2 linked regions of the Pelodiscus sinensis genome follow. The protein of the gene in region 1 binds, or shares a complex with, the protein of each later gene. Links are inferred from orthologs where the notes say so. Each region holds a gene or a part of one and is shown in the gene's direction. Other genes may lie near its edges. The genes, in order: RAB11FIP2 and RAB25.

Evidence for each region.
Region 2: the proteins of RAB11FIP2 (region 1) and RAB25 are in contact, whole or in part, in a crystal structure (PDB 3TSO), measured with the Homo sapiens proteins. The link is inferred for Pelodiscus sinensis from reciprocal best matches to the Homo sapiens genes RAB11FIP2 and RAB25. Residues at the interface, in NP_055719.1 of Homo sapiens: Arg475, Glu478, Ile481, Asp482, Asn483, Leu485, Val486, Met489, Pro493, Ser494, Leu496, Arg497, Val498, Pro499; in NP_065120.2 of Homo sapiens: Arg34, Ile45, Gly46, Val47, Glu48, Phe49, Ser50, Thr51, Lys62, Trp66, Arg73, Arg75, Ala76, Ile77, Ala80, Tyr81.

What each region holds. Positions count from the first base shown.
Region 1 is NC_134718.1:60,112,673-60,120,099, forward strand, and holds the start of RAB11FIP2 (rab11 family-interacting protein 2), read left to right. Parts: upstream 1-4,317; 5' UTR 4,318-5,830; coding exon 5,831-6,183; intron 6,184-7,427. UniProt on the Homo sapiens protein: A Rab11 effector binding preferentially phosphatidylinositol 3,4,5-trisphosphate (PtdInsP3) and phosphatidic acid (PA) and acting in the regulation of the transport of vesicles from the endosomal recycling compartment (ERC) to the plasma membrane.
Region 2 is NC_134734.1:16,799,021-16,806,887, reverse strand, and holds the start of RAB25 (ras-related protein Rab-25), read left to right. Parts: upstream 1-4,826; 5' UTR 4,827-5,147; coding exon 5,148-5,187; intron 5,188-7,867. UniProt on the Homo sapiens protein: The small GTPases Rab are key regulators of intracellular membrane trafficking, from the formation of transport vesicles to their fusion with membranes.

The sequences.
Region 1 (7,427 bases):
ATTTTCATCCCTATGTTTAATATTATCTTTTGAGCCCTGACCACGCTAAAGCCAATAAAATCAGAAAGAGATAAATGAGAAGTCTGGTTTGTCTTTAGCGTTAATGAATTTGGATAAAGAATAACAATTGGTGTGACTTTAAAAATGAACAATTATTACAGAATTATAATGGTTAGCAATGTTGTGGAGAATGAGAATGTCTGTCAGGCTACGTCTACACTCATGGCTTATTGCGCAAGAACATCTTGCGCAAGTGTTCTTGTGCAAGAACTCTTGCACAAGAAAACGTCCACACTGCCATGTGCGAGCTGTGTTTTTGCACAAGAGCGCCCATGGCAGTGTGGATGCTTTCTTGCGCAAGAAAGCTATGAAGGTCATTTTAGCCTTAGGGCTTTCTTGCACAAGAAATCCCTGCTGAGCGTCCACACAGCCCTCTTGTGCAAGAGCTCCTGTGCAAGAGGGCTTATACCTGTCAAAAAAGAGCGTAGCTCTTGAGCAAGGAGCCCCCTTTACCACGCCGTACTGTAAATTTACTTGCACAAGAGCAGGCGGGCAGTGTGGACGCTCTGCAGATTCTTGCACAAGAATGGTCATAGTTGTGCAAGAAGCCATGAGTGTAGACATAGCCTTATTGTTTATAAGTGTCATAAGGTCCTCAGTTTACCTGTGTGATAAGATCCTCCCTGCCATTACAGAGTTAACTAAAAGGAGGCTGTAAGGAGGAACTCGCCAGAAAACAAAATACTGACCAAGACAAGGAAGTCTTGCCCTGTAACGATTATAGTTACAATTAAAACAGTCTTAATTCTCACGTGCACCATCTTTCTCTATTAATTCACTCTTCTACATGTGCTTGGCCCAAGAGATCAGTATTTAAATAAATCTATAGGATTCCAAGAGTTGTGGCAGAATTCTGTAATTTTCAGTAATTTTTAATACCCTCTCTGCTCTCACCCAGGGAACCGACAATGCATCTCTAATTCCACATCAGAGTTGACACTTCAGCTGCCCCAGCAAAAGAAAACACTCTCCTTTTACACTTGGCTGCTCTGAGACCATTCCATTCTTCTGTTTCATTTCCGATTGCATGCAGAACAGTACTTATTGAAGAGGATCAACACATTTGTCTGTACTTGTAGAGGTAAGCGAATTTATTGTGGCAAATAATGTATTTGATGAATGAATTTCTCTATGGTTTCTGTTTGCAAATTGAAAAGTTTGCAATTTTTGCATTATTTGGAATTGTTTGCCAGGTAATTTTGGTGAGAAATGTTTGGTCAGCAGATCACTGGTACCTATCTGCTTGAAACTTTGGATTATTGGGTGATACATGTTATTTCTGAGGGGACACAGGTTACAGGGTATACTTTTATTCCTGATTGGATGGCCAGCGCTCTTAGTGTCTGTACAAATACTCAAGCTTCAAATTCTGTTTCTGTTATCTATACTTGTGAAAGTTATAATCAAGGTGTTCACAAGATCCCAAAGAATCTTCTCCCTGCCTCCAAATCAGCCAACTTTTTGCAAAATAGCATTGCCATAGTCTTCTCATCTTACCCTTTCCCCTATGCGTTACCTATCAGATCCTCTGCTTTTTAATATCCTTGATGAATTTCCTTGACCATTCATCCCTTCATGTTCCTTATGTCTTTCCATCCCCACTTAAGTATTTGCCATATCTAAGAGATGATCACCGGAGATGATGAAGGGGGATGTAGGAGAGGCAAAGAAGGAGCATGTGTGTGGAAGAGCTGCTCATCCTGAACAACCAATGTGCAGCCTTAATTCCAATGTCAAATATATTGCACTTTAACTAATAGATATGCAGGATAATAGTTGTAATTTACACTCCAAAATTAATACCAAATTTATTACAATAAATGTTCCAATAATGAACATGGACGATCCTTTTAACTTTTTTTTTCAACATTACAAAAAATATCTTGCAGCTTACACCAACAGAAAACTACGTACACAGTGATTTATGAAGGACACACCAACCATGTTTAATCATCAGTACAAATAGATAGTCTACAGTCAGAGTTCAAGAGTACCAGTAGTTGGTTCAGTATTGGTGGGTTTGTGTTGGTAGGACATAGTTTAGCAACCAAAATGTGTCTGTCAGATATTCAGTTTAGCATCCATAACATGTCTGCATGTGTATTTAGAAATATAGCTAATATCTGTAGCACACAGAAGTCTCCTGTGGGATAATACCATTCAAATTATATACAGTAGAACCTCAGAGTTAAGAACACTACAGGAATGTTTGTAACTATGAAATATTTGTAACTATGAACAAAACATTATGGCTGTTCTTTCAAAAGTTTACAAATGAATATTGACTTAATACAGCTTTGAAACTTTACTATGTGAAAGAAAAATGTTTTTACCGTCTTAATTTAAATGACACAGGCACAGAAACAGTTTTCTTACCTTGCCAAATCTTTTTTTTTTTTATAAACTTTTCTTTAGTTTTTAGATTATATTTAACCCAGAACTCTACTGTATTGGTTTTTATTTGTTTTGTTTCTGCTATTGCCTGATTGCCCACTTCTGGTTCCAAATGAGATGTGTGGTTGACTGGTCACTTGTAACTCTGTTGTTCATAACTCGGGTTCTACTATATTTCCAAACAATTTATACTTATTTTTGCTAATTAATTTAAATTAAATGGCGTGGTGAAGGTTGGGAAATGAGATTTCAGAGTTTCTTGAAACAGACTGCAAAATCTTGAATCACAGGAGTGAAAATTTTGAAAACTTCCTTTAAAATGGCAGACATGCATGACAGGTTTGGACTAGTTGTACATCTAGACTTGTTCACCATGTGTGGACTCTGATTGCTAACGCAGAACTGGTGACATATTGGGTAGTGTCAAAATGCTAAGACAATCTGAATGATCTATATATCAAGAAATTGTATTTTAAATGTTTTTATTTAAATATGTAGCATGTCTCCTTTCAGTTGCAAGAGTTTTTTTCATAGAATTATAGAAAGAACAGATAGGGCTGAAAGGGTCCTTGAGAAGTCATCAAGTCTAGCAAACTCTACCAAGTCAGGAACAACCTATACCAACCTTGGAAGGTGTTTGTTCAACCTGTTCTTAAAGATCCAATGATGAAAATTCTACAACCTCTCCTGGAAGCTGGTTCCGGCACTCAACTATGCTTGTGTACTGAAAGTCTTTTCCTGGTATTGATCCTACATTTTCCTACTTACAGCTTAAGCCCATTATTTTGTGTCCTGTCTTCAGCAGGCCAGAAGAGCAAATTATCATTATTCTCTTGAATAAAAGTGTTCCATATATTTGAAAACTCTTAATAGACTATCTGTCCCCTACCACCCGTTTTCTTTTCTTACATTTCAAACATTATTTTAAAATTAAGCACAGCCTGGAGTCTCTCCTCTCTTCCAGAAAATGGTGCTTTCAGCTTCAACCCAAGGCTGTGTCTAGACTGGCCAGTTTTTCCAGAAAATCAGCCACTTTTCCAGAAAAACTTGCCAGCTGTCTACACTGGCCACTTAAATTTCTGCAAAAGCACTGACTTCCTACTGTAAGAAATCAGTGCTTCTTGCGGAAATACTACGCTGCTCTTTTGCGAAAAGGGGCCAGTGTAGACAGCTCGGATTTGTTTTCCGCAAAAAAGCCCTGATCGCTAAAATGGCGATCTGGGCTTTTTTGCGGAAACGTGCGTCTAGATTGGCACGGACGCTTTTCCGCAAAAAGTGCTTCTGCGGAAAAGCATCTGTGCCAATCTAGACGCTCTTCTCCGAAAATGTTTTTAACGGAAAACTTTTCCGTTAAAAGCATTTCTGGAAAATCATGCCAATCTAGACGTAGCCCAAGATATTGGGGGTGGAGGGGTAGAGGGAAGGTGCAGGAGATTGGAATTTCTTCCTCCCCTGGTTTGAAATAGGAGGCATTCGAACCCCAGCCGCCCATGCTTAGAGGACCCCTACTGCACCCCAGTGATGGCTTCTTGTGCCTCTAAAAATAATAGGGAGTTTTCTTTCTTTCCCCCTAGCCAAGATTAGGGGGCTTTCCTCTATCTTCCCACTAATAGTCCAAGGTGCCCCCTCACCCCCAGGAGCGGGTTCCTCTATTCTCCCTCTCCTCCGATGTTGGGGTGAATTCTTCTGCCCATAAATAAGGGATCCGTCTTCTCTATGACTGCTCGGGAGTCCCCCCAGGGTGAGGGGCCCCGCTTCCCCCGCAGCCAGGCGTGAGCGGGCCTCGCTCCCTGCAGCCAGGCCCGGAAGCTCCGGAGCAGGGTGGGGTTTGGCGGAAAGGCTCGGGGCTCTCAGGAGCCGGGCCGGATTGAACCCTGCCCCCTGCCCTCTGACCGCCGCGGAGGCAGCCGCAGCGGAGGGAAGGCGGAAGCGGCAGCGCCGGGCTCGGCAGCAGCAGGCCGAGCGCCGCAGACTCTGCGGGCGGAGGGGGGGCGGCGTCAGTGCGGGAAGCGAGCGCGCCGCGAGCCGCCGGGCACGCTCGTCCGTCCGCCGCCGGGGAGCCCAGCCTGGCACCGCCGCGCTCCAGGGGCCGCCCTTCGCCGCTGGGGACGGAGGCGCCGAGGCTGTAAGGGGCCGGGGGAGGCCTGCGGGGGCGGGGGCAAAGCGACCCTGGCCAGCGGCCGGGGGGAGGGAGAGGACCGCAGGGCTCCTCACAGCCGGGCAGGGAGAGGACCCCAGGGGCAGTCTGAGGGAGGGTCTGAGCGGGGAACCCTGGGGGCTTCCCAGATTTGGGAGGGGGGAGTCAGAGGGGACCCTAGGGGCTTCCCAGATTTCGGGGGGTAAGATGGTAAACTAGAGGGTTCCCAATTTTTTTTGGGGGGGGGTGGTAAAATGGCACACTAGAGGGTTCCCAGATTTGGGGAGGTAAGATGGTAAACGAGAGGGTTCCCAGATTTGGGGGGGAGGGTAAAATGGCACACTAGAGAGTTCCCAGATTTGGGGGGGGGGTAAGATGGTGCACTAGAGGGTTCCCAAATTTTGGGGGTTAATATGGTACACTAAAGAGTTCTGAGATTTGGGGGGGTAAGAGTATGCTAGGGGGTTCCCAGATCTGGGGGAGGGAGTAAGAGGAGACCCCTAGGGATTTTCTAGATCCACGGAGAGGTGGTACAAAGGGGGCTTTGCAGTTTTGAGGGGAGGACTAAGCAAGGTGATCCTGGGCTACCCAGCACCCAGTGGAACATGGTGGGAGAGGAGAGTGCTATGAAGGGGACCTAGGACTGAACATGCAGGGCTGATCTATATGGGAGGGTATGTTGGGGCTTCTGGGATGATGTGCGGTAAGGGAGGGACCAGGGAGTATTTAGCCCTGGAGGGAGTTTGCGAAGCAGAAGAGAGACAGGCTACAGTTGGTTACAAACCTTGAAACCTCATTCCTTTATTTATCTCACCCTGGGCCCCTTTCTTCTTGCAATGAGGTAGGAACAGTACATTAGAAGGCCTTGCAGGGAATGGGAAATTTTAAAGTTCAGGGTTGTCTTTACAGGAGTTGGGAGTTGGGGGGTGTTTTTTTTTAATGATGTGAGGGGGGAAAACTGAGTAAAGAAGAGTTCATTAATTGTTGTGGAAGAAAAAGAATATATGAGTGATTTTTTTCTATTTTTAAAATTAGTAATAGAACTGAAGGTGTTACTTTTTTGGAGGGAAAATCTAAGCAATGGTTAGTGTGTCTCAAAAAAACAAAAACAACCAAACTCAGTACTGAGAGAAATAACGCTGGGACTTTCATAGATATCCCTACTTTAAGTGCACTTATGCAGTAACTAGAAGATTTAGAAACTTTATTGTGTTGCTACAACTACTGAACTCTTCAAAGATGATGTTGGCAGAGCAAGCCCAGACGTGGTTCCCAACCCACGTACAGGTTACAGTTCTTCAAGCCAAAGATCTGAAGCCAAAAGGCAAAAATGGCACCAATGATACCTACACTATCATACAACTGGGCAAGGAAAAATACTCCACCTCGGTGGCTGAGAAGACCTTAGAACCAGTCTGGAAAGAAGAGGCATCATTTGAGCTCCCTGGATTACTGATGCAGGGGAATCCAGAGAAATACATTCTTTACCTGATTGTCATGCACAGGTCGCTGGTGGGCCTGGATAAATTTTTGGGACAGGTGGCAATAAATCTTAATGATATATTTGAGGACAAGCAACGAAGAAAAACAGAGTAAGTGATGTTTTGTATTACAGTTTTTTGGGTTTCTTAAGTATGTGGTTCTAGATCAGAAGCCTTATAGCTACAATAAAATTAATTGAAACTAATAGGTATAATAGATTATGTGGCTCATAAGCCTCTGTCATACAATGAGCTCTTCAAAGGAGTATCCTCATTTAAATCAGTAGGTTTTCCTGTGATTACACATGCCCATCTGGACAGAGTAGGACTATAGATAATAAAATTATCTACAATAATTACATTTTTTTTAACATTAGCTTCTTACAGTCCATTTTTTTCATACTCATCAGTTGTAAAACCATTTTCAACTTGTGCAACACAATTTAGACTATATATTTCCCAGATCTGGGAGGAGGAGAGGAAGGGGAAGTAAGTCTGAATATAGTCCAACTCAAGCAATGTCTAGTATCAACCAATGTAATGTAGTGTTAAGTGTTCATATTCTGCAAAACTGACTCTTAAATTTTCCGTATTATTTAGTGCTGAATGAACGTTGTCTAAATTAAGGTTTACCACTAGTGTACTGTGTACTTTTCTGATTAGAGTTTTAGGTATTGAGCCTGCAAACTGTTCTGCACTGCAGGCCCAGACAGAGAAGCTTGTTAGGGTAAGGTTTGGGCTTTAGCGATGAAGTGGAGTTGGTCTGTTCTTATTAGTCCAGTTCCTAGAAGTTTCTTCCACTTTAGTAGCCTTCAGCAGCAGATATTCTTTTGTTAAATAAAACTATAATTGACCAACAAATTCTGCAACTAGAACTTAAAGGAAAGAATGCAGAAGTTAATAAATATCATTTTGCATAGTATGTGTACTATATATTTAAAGACTGAGTATCCTAAGACCTGGTGAACATCCTCTTTTTTTTTTTTTTTTTTTTTTTTTTTTTTGTACTGGTCTAATTTTTTTGTATTAGGGTGTGTGTTTTTTAACTGACGTAGTTAAATTGGTTCAACCCTTGTGTGGACCCAATTATATTTGTATAGTGTGGGTTATTTTTCTAAATATACAGGAATAAATTGTATTTGTTTAAGTACCTTTGTACTGATACAGATATATCTACATTAGAGGTCATATAGCTTTAAATGGACCAGTCCAAACGAGTATAGTTAAATCAGTCTAAAAACAGTGTGGCCAAGCTGTAAGTTAGGTGTATAAATTGTACTTGCTAATTCGGCTTTAACAGTCTATAGGCCCAGTTTTACAGTTAACTCTGCTTGTGTGTAGAGGTCTGTTCAACC
Region 2 (7,867 bases), on another chromosome or scaffold:
AGCAAACATGAAGCCAACTTATGGGCCCAGGAAAAGCGGCATAATGTGGAGTATCTGATGGGGAATGACGAGTCCTGGGATCTATCCTGAGGTCTGCCACGTTTGCCTGGGAAAGTAACTTCCCATCCTGTTTTCCTCTCCTGCCTTCTCTATTTAGACTGCAAGCTTTCTGGGGTTGGGATATCCCTTGCTTGTATCTTCACATTACCCTAGCACATGCCTCGGGTGGTGCTTCTAGGTATTACTGTAATGTGCCTAGGTCTGTGCGCCACTATGTACATCTCACAAGGTTCCCCCTCCCCCTTCAATCTACTGTGAAATTAGACTGTGGAACTCTCTGCCACAGGATCATACAGAGGGCAAGAATTTAAGGAAGCAGGACTAGACACTTATGTAGGTTCTGGTACTGAGCCCATCACTCTGGTGACTGAGCACTAGTTTAAGTGGTCTAATAGGTTGCATGCAAGAGCATTTGGGGGAGCCCTTTTAAAAGGCAGAGCCTTGGCATTAAGGCCTCAAGCAATCTAACAGTGAGGGAGTTTCAAGGGGGAAGGAGGCATGGCTGCCTATTTGGGAGGGAGAAGTGGGGTTCTTGCAGCTTCTACTGAAGCAAGTGGTGATGGATTTTTGAACACGTTGGCCTGGGGCAGAAGGCTAAAGAGGATTCAGGGGTTGCTGAGCTGTCTAGTTTTTCCCTCTGTTGCTCACATGATGGCAGCAGAGGATAAGGAATGCAACTTTCATTTCCTAACCGAAAATGCTCTGCTGCCAGTAACACTGGTGTAAATCTGGAGCGAGTCAATCTGGATTTACACCCCCGTGACTGACTACAGACATGAATTCGGAGTGTCTGTTCTTGGAGATACCAGCAGTGTCCAGGTCTGATTCTGTAAATCCAGCCACCGGTGGTAGGAGGCCCACAAACACCCGATTCTCCCCCTCCTACCACAGTGTAAGTGGAGTTATTTCTGATCTGCACCAACAGCAGGAGAAGCTGTCCTGGTGTTTTTTAAAAGTGAAACTAGCCAGTTCATGTAGTGCTGTGCCCAGGGTTAAGGCTTGGGTCATGCCAAGATCAGCGGGTCGGAGGATGGTACCATGCTCTGCCTGCCCTGGGCTGGCCCAGGGGGTGTGAACTAAAAGCTACCCAACTTTTGTGTTCACATGGTCCTGTCTGACACAGAGCTACATCAATGCAAACTAGGCACCTTTTCATGCTGGCAGAGTCTGCACAGAGTAGCAGCCAATGAGAGCACACACCAGTTCACATGCCCTGAGTCGGGGCTGTGGCACTGTGTAGACAAATCCAAAATAGTTGTATCTCCTCCTCTAATCCACTCATGTTTATACAAATTATGGAAATAGAAGGAAATTTGCTAACTCAGAGCTAAGGGGGACGCAGCGTAGCCTAGTGCTTTGGACAGGGAGTCAGGAGACCTGTATTCTAGTCCTGCTTCTGGACTGTTGGGTGACCTCGGGCAAGTCACTTGCTTGCTCTGTGCCTCAGCTTCCCTGCCTGTAAAATGGGAGTAATGATACTGCTCTCCTTTGGGAGTGGCAGAAGAAAACTATGAGCTATAATGAGGGAGGCCCATGGGAGCTTGGCCAGTAACAGCAGTGGCACCCATAAGCGCAGGAAGTATGGGTGTATGGGGTGCTGCACTACCCTCAGTTTTTGCACCCTGTGTCTTGGCTGCTCTGTTGCAGGTTCCAGAGTCCTGACTGCCCACCCTGCATGCTGGGCTCCCAGACACTGACCCCACTGCCAGCTGGCCCCATGCCCAGGAACTCCATTGTCCACCCTGGGTCTTACTCAGCTGCTAGCCTCAGGGGCTTTGCTGCCAGCCCCAGCTCTAAGGAGTGGTTTGGGGCGCAGCCACAGCTGGGGCGGGGTGCAGCTCACATCAAGAATTGTTCTAGCACCACTGGTAGGGCCAGGATTTCACTTGCTTCCCGAGCCATGTAAAAAGGGCTTCCTGAGCCATGTAAAAAGAGTACAATGGGGAATTAGCCTCCTGGACTTCGCATACCCCCCCACCCCGCATTAGCATGAAATAGTTCACGAGCGCACAGCGTCGGTGCTGGGTAGCGCTAAGCCCTTAATGGCTCTGATTTCTCCTCCTGTGACTTGGCCTCTCCCACCCCCTGCTGAGTTTTCACCTGCCTACGTAGGCGGTGGCATTAGCTCACACAGCTCCCTGCCCAGCCGGAAAGAGGTGCGGTCCCAGGCATAGACGAAAGCCCTGTTGGCTCAGTCGCGCTGCCTCCCGTACCTAAGATCCGTCCAAGGGCTGATCATTCTCCTGCAGTGGCAGCTCTGGGGATCCAGCGGCGGGATCGTAGCGGCTCATGGGTGGCAGGTGTAAGAGGCAAGGGAAGGCAATACCTTCCCAAGCTACCTGGCTGGTCCCACCCACACTCTGCCCCCAAACCCCCTCCCACTCAGTGTGGCTCCCTCCAGTCTCCTGGGGTGCCTGGGCTTCAGCATCACCCGGGCTCCAAGGCCAGAGGAGCCGCTCGCTGCCTGCCCTCTGGGTTTGGAGGGGGGGGCCACCGACCCTCCCTGTGCTCTAGGGAAAGCTAGGGTGGGGGTGGCCTGCCCCTACAGTGTGGGGTCTTGGGTTCCATGGGGGCCTTGGGCAGCAGGGGCGGGGCCTCAGGCAGCAGGGGTGGAGCTAGGGACTTGCCTCATGCAGCCCTGGGTTCGCTCACTGCCCTGTAGTGGCTGTAAGCCGGGGGTGGGGAACCTTTTTTGGGTCGGGGGCCACAGACCCACAGAAAAATCAGTCGGGGGCCGCCCCCAAGTGAGAACGAAAAAAACAAAACAAACAAACAAAAACCCAACAAACCCCCCAACTGAGCCATTCCCCTCACACCAGAGTCTAGGCAGGCCCAGGCTAGTCGATTTTGTGTGCTCCAGCCCCTTGCAGGAACAATGTCGATTCCCTAATGCTAGGAGGGCCCTGACGCCGTCGGTTCTCCACCCCTGCTCTAAGGCTAGGCAATGAGAACCCCATTTGCGGAATGAAATATTGGGGGCCTTCCCCCCACCAGCCTGAGCCACTTTAAAACCTTTTCCCTCAGCTCCTCTTTAGAGGCCTTTCCAGTGTCTCTTCTACCAGTCCCCAGAGCAGATGCTGATGCAGTGACAGGACCTGCTTGTGAGAGGAGGGCCTGGCTCAGGGGTTGCCCACCGGGCTGGAGTCAGGAGAGCTGGGTTTTGAACCATGGAAATCAAACCCCTCCCCAGCCTTTGGGCCGCTGTTTGCATTGGTAAGCTGTCTCTTCAGGTAGGGTCTGTCTCTCACTGGGTCTATGTACAGCACGGAGTCCAGAGGTCACCTCCATGGACCGCTGAGGTGCGCGAGTCATTCGCACACGGATGACTGAGAATGCCTCTCTCATGCTCCGTGGGTTCACCTTAGTCACAGCAGGCACACGGTCTGCAGGGGCAGAGCAAGGGGCAATTGGGGCCCAAGTACATTGTATTCCCTGGGGCTCCCCCCATGTCACCAGGGCCATCCCTAGGGGGGTGCAGGGCCTGGATGACCCTCAGTGCTCCAAGCCCTGGGATCCCCCTTCCCCACCTCAGGCCCCACCCTTGTTCCCCTCCCCTTCCCCAAGCCCCATTGCTGCTGTGCTCCTGCCCACCACCATCACCTCCCCCAAACAACGTCCTGGATTAGAGCCCCCCCCCCATATTCACCAGGAGCCGGAGCAGCCACCCTGGTTCATCCTACCACAGATGGGATGGCTCTGCCTGTCACTTTCTTTACACAGATATTTTGGGGCTCCTCGAACTTGGAGCCCTGGTACAACTGGACCCTCCTCTGCATCCCCTCTTGTCAACCCCAGCCAGACTCCTGTTAGTTCATCCCTTCCCCTCTCAAATAGTCAGTCCCCTTGGCACTCTGCTCCTCCAAGGAGTCCTTCAGGAAATAAACGGTGTCAGCCCCAGGCCAGAGTGTGTGTTACAGGCCTCTCTCTTGGTCCCAGCCACAGAAGTCAGGCTGCAGGGCTGAGCTGAAGCGATAAGGGGGCTCAGACTTTTCACGCTGCAGATCCCTGATTCACTCCCTGGTGTGTCACCAGACAGGCATGGACTGTTTCCAGGGGAGCCCGCTGTAGGCATAGACACACCTGAGGCAAAGCGTGTTTTTTGAGGCACTTGACCCAGATCCGCAGAGTTGGTTCCGCAGGCAAATTGCTCCTCTCTCCATCCTCAGCTCTTTCTCCTTGTCCCCTCTGCCTCCCACACCCTGCTGTCTGGCTTCCTGCTGGCCCTCCCTCCTCCAGAGACTTGCCAGCCCTTCAGAATTCCTCTGGCATCCCCAGGAATGAAAGATTCATCTTTCCTATGAGTTCATATCCTGTGATGAAACCCCCCACTCAAACTGGTCCTTCTACACCAGGGGTGGGGAACCTCAGGCCTGGGGGCCGGATGTGGCCCCCGGCTTGCCTGGATCCAGCCTTCCGAGGTTCACCTCACTGGGCACACATAATGTACTAGGCTGGACCCCTTAGGCTCTGGTTCACAAGGGGAATGTGGAGAGTGTCTTTCTCTTCAGCTGGGAGCCACGTCACTAAGGAGTTTTGTTTGCTTGTTTGTTTCTTCTCACTTTATATGCAGCCCCCGTCCGTTTTTCCTGTGGGTCAGTGGCCCCCGACCCAAAAAGGTTCCCCACTCCTGCTCTACACCTAGGGTGAAGTTAAGCCGAGGCCAGTACGGGTGAGCCCAGCAACCATGTGACGCTGGTGGGGGTGGTTTGCACTACCTGACAAACCTGTACAGCGACACCCGGGTCACACCTCACTGAGTCAGCCAGCCCTGCAGAGCTGCACCTTCAACCCGCCTAGAAAGGATCTATTCCCCGCCCAGTCCCTCTGACAACAGGACACAGAAGCTGGGTTTTTGGGAGCTGGTGCAGTAAAGGGAACTTGGCTCTGTGGGTCTCCTCCCCTCTGGCAACTCTCCTCCCAATCGCTTTCAGCTTCGCTGGCTTAGGAGGAAATTTTGTCCTCTCTCTTCCTGGTTTATCAGAGCCTGGCAAAAAAGAAAACTCCCCCACACCCTGGCTGGTAAGGAAGCAAGCAAAGATTGAGAGGAGGATCCCAGGCCGGAGGGGGGCCAGGTGTGGCTGGGAAAGATGGGGACAGCTGAGGAGAATTATAACTTTGTCTTTAAGGGTAAGTTTTGCCGGCACCCTCATTCGGTGACTAGGTTTCAATGTGCTAGTTCTGCCTTTTGGAAGGGTGGAACTGGGGGCATGGGGAGAGGTGGGCAAAGGATGGATGGATGGATGTGGGGAGACCAGCTGCAGCAGTGATGGGCTGAGACAGTGGCTGTTCACCTTTCTGGACAACTGTATCCCTTTCAGGAGTCCGATTTGAATTGCAAGCCCCACGTTTCCCCTCACTTAAAAATGACTTGCTTACAAAACCAGACGTCGAAACACAAAAATCTCGCCGTGCACGGCTACTCCAAAATCTGCTGACTTTCCCATTTTTACCACCGAAGTATAAAATAAATCCACCGGGGTATGAATATCGTATTTACATTTCAGTGTGGCGCACGGTACAAACAAGTCACTGTCTGTATGAAATGTTAGTGTGTATGGACTTTGCTAGTGATTTTTATGTAGCCTGTTGTAAAACGGAGCAAATATCTCGATGAACTGATGTACCCTCTGAAAGACCCACAGGTGTACACATGTTTTCCCCCCACCCCTGGCTGAGAACCACTGGGCTAGGGCATGTACCACAAGAGGTGGAGGGGAAGCAGCCATCCAGAACAGAAACTGGGGGAAAGGGTCTTTCTCCTGTGGTTATGAGGAGTCCTTCGAGGTGGCTCTTTGACCTCGGTCCATCCCTGTGGCCAAATCCCACTTCACCAGGGCATAAGCCCTAAAGAAGTCAGTGGAGCTACACCAGGAATTTGGCTCAGATGAGCCCCTCAGCTATACCCTCCTCTCCCAAATTGTCCAAGATTGTGACCCACTGAGTATCCCATCAGTAAATCAACAGCCCAGCTCGGTGCCTGGACTGACGGGTGCGTTGTGGGATGCAGTCAGGGGGTCTGACACCTCCCTCTTGAGCAGCAGTTCCCAAACTTTTCAGCATCACACCCACTTTTTGATTTTTCAAAAACCCTCACATTCCCTTCCCCCAAAATAGCAAAATTTGTTGAGGAAAAAAAAAAAAGGAACTGACTGGGGCAGCAAAACTTGATGGGGGAGGGGGGGGTTGGGTCGCCTCGTGCTCCTCCCCCCCCCCCGGGAATTTCTTCACACACCCCAGTTTGGGAAGCCATGCTCTTGAGTATTAGGTACTCGTCGCTGCTGGCCTAGCTGGACAATCAGAAGTAGCCAGTGTTACAGTGTCACTGCTGCGGGGGGTTGGTGGAATGGTGCTAAGCTCAGTGTGGAGGTTTGGGGCTTCTGTCAATCCAGATCCCCAGGCATTTGAATCCCGATGGATGTCTGGACTGTCCCACCTTGGGAGCTGGTTCTCCATCACCCCACACTGTGAGTGCGCATTTACATCTATGCAAAGTGCTACCGGATCAGAAGGGGTGCAAAGACCAGCACGAAGTGGAGAGCAGCCTTAAAGGGTGGAAATAGCCATGTAAGGATCCTGCTTGCACAAGGGGCTGTCCCAACTGGTTTGGAGCTGAGGAAAGGGCCATAAACATAGAGGGAGGATTGGGGTGTGGCCGGAATGCAACAAGTACTGTGGCTAATCTGAAACAAAATACAGGACTATGTAGCACTTTAAAGACTAACAAGATGGTTTATTAGGTGATGAGCTTTCATGGGCCAGACCCACTTCTAATCTGTGATAGAAATGTAGCCGTGTTAGTCTGGTGTAGCTGAAACAAAATACAGGACTATGTAGCACTTTAAAGACTAACAAGATGGTTTATTAGGTGATGAGCTTTCATGGGCCAGACCCACTTCCTCAGATCAAATAATGGAAGAAAATAGTCACAACCATATATACCAAAGGATACAATTAAAATAATCTGTGTTTCTCAGGCCCCATAAGGAGCAGAGACTGTTTCTTGCTCTGGGTTGTCATGGCCCCCTGTCATGCTGGGGCCTCAGTCTTGGTATGAGCCTCCAAGTACTACTGTAATGTAAAAAGTATTAATGCCAACATGGCGTAATGCCTGCTGACAGGATCAGGCCCTAACTGGATTGCATCCCTTTAGAGCGCAGTTTCTTCTAACCTGAGTCAAACTGCTTTCAGTAACTGGAATTGCAACAAAAGCCAGATTTAAAAAACAAAACAAAAAAACCCACCAAATTTATTTTCTCGAACAAGGAAAATGTTTTGGTTTTTCTGGAAAAAAACATTTAAACCAAAATTTTTATTTGCAGGGGAAAATGTTTATTACTTTCTAGCCAGGTCTGTATGCCCTTATTTCACTGGGAGAAGGACAGTGGCTCTGGCAACTAGGCCCCAAACTTTTACTAAAATGATTAGGGGTTTGGAACGGGTCCCATATGAGGAGAGGTTAAAGCGAATGGGACTTTTCAGTTTAGAAAAAAGGAGACTGAGGGGGGATATGATAGAGGTATATAAAATCATGAGTGGTGTGGAGAGGGCCGATAAAGAAAAGTTATAAATAGAAGAACTAGAGGACACCAAATGACATTAATGGGGAGCAGGTTTAAAACTAATAAAAGAAAGTTCTTCTTCACACAGCGTGTAGTCAACCTGTGGAACTCCTTGCCAGAGGAGGCTGTGAAGGCTAGGACTATAATAGAGTTTAAAGAGAAGCTAGATGATTTCATGGAGGTTAGGTCCATAAAAGGCTATTAGCCAGGGGATAAAATGGTGTCCTTGGCCTCTGTTTGTCAGAGGC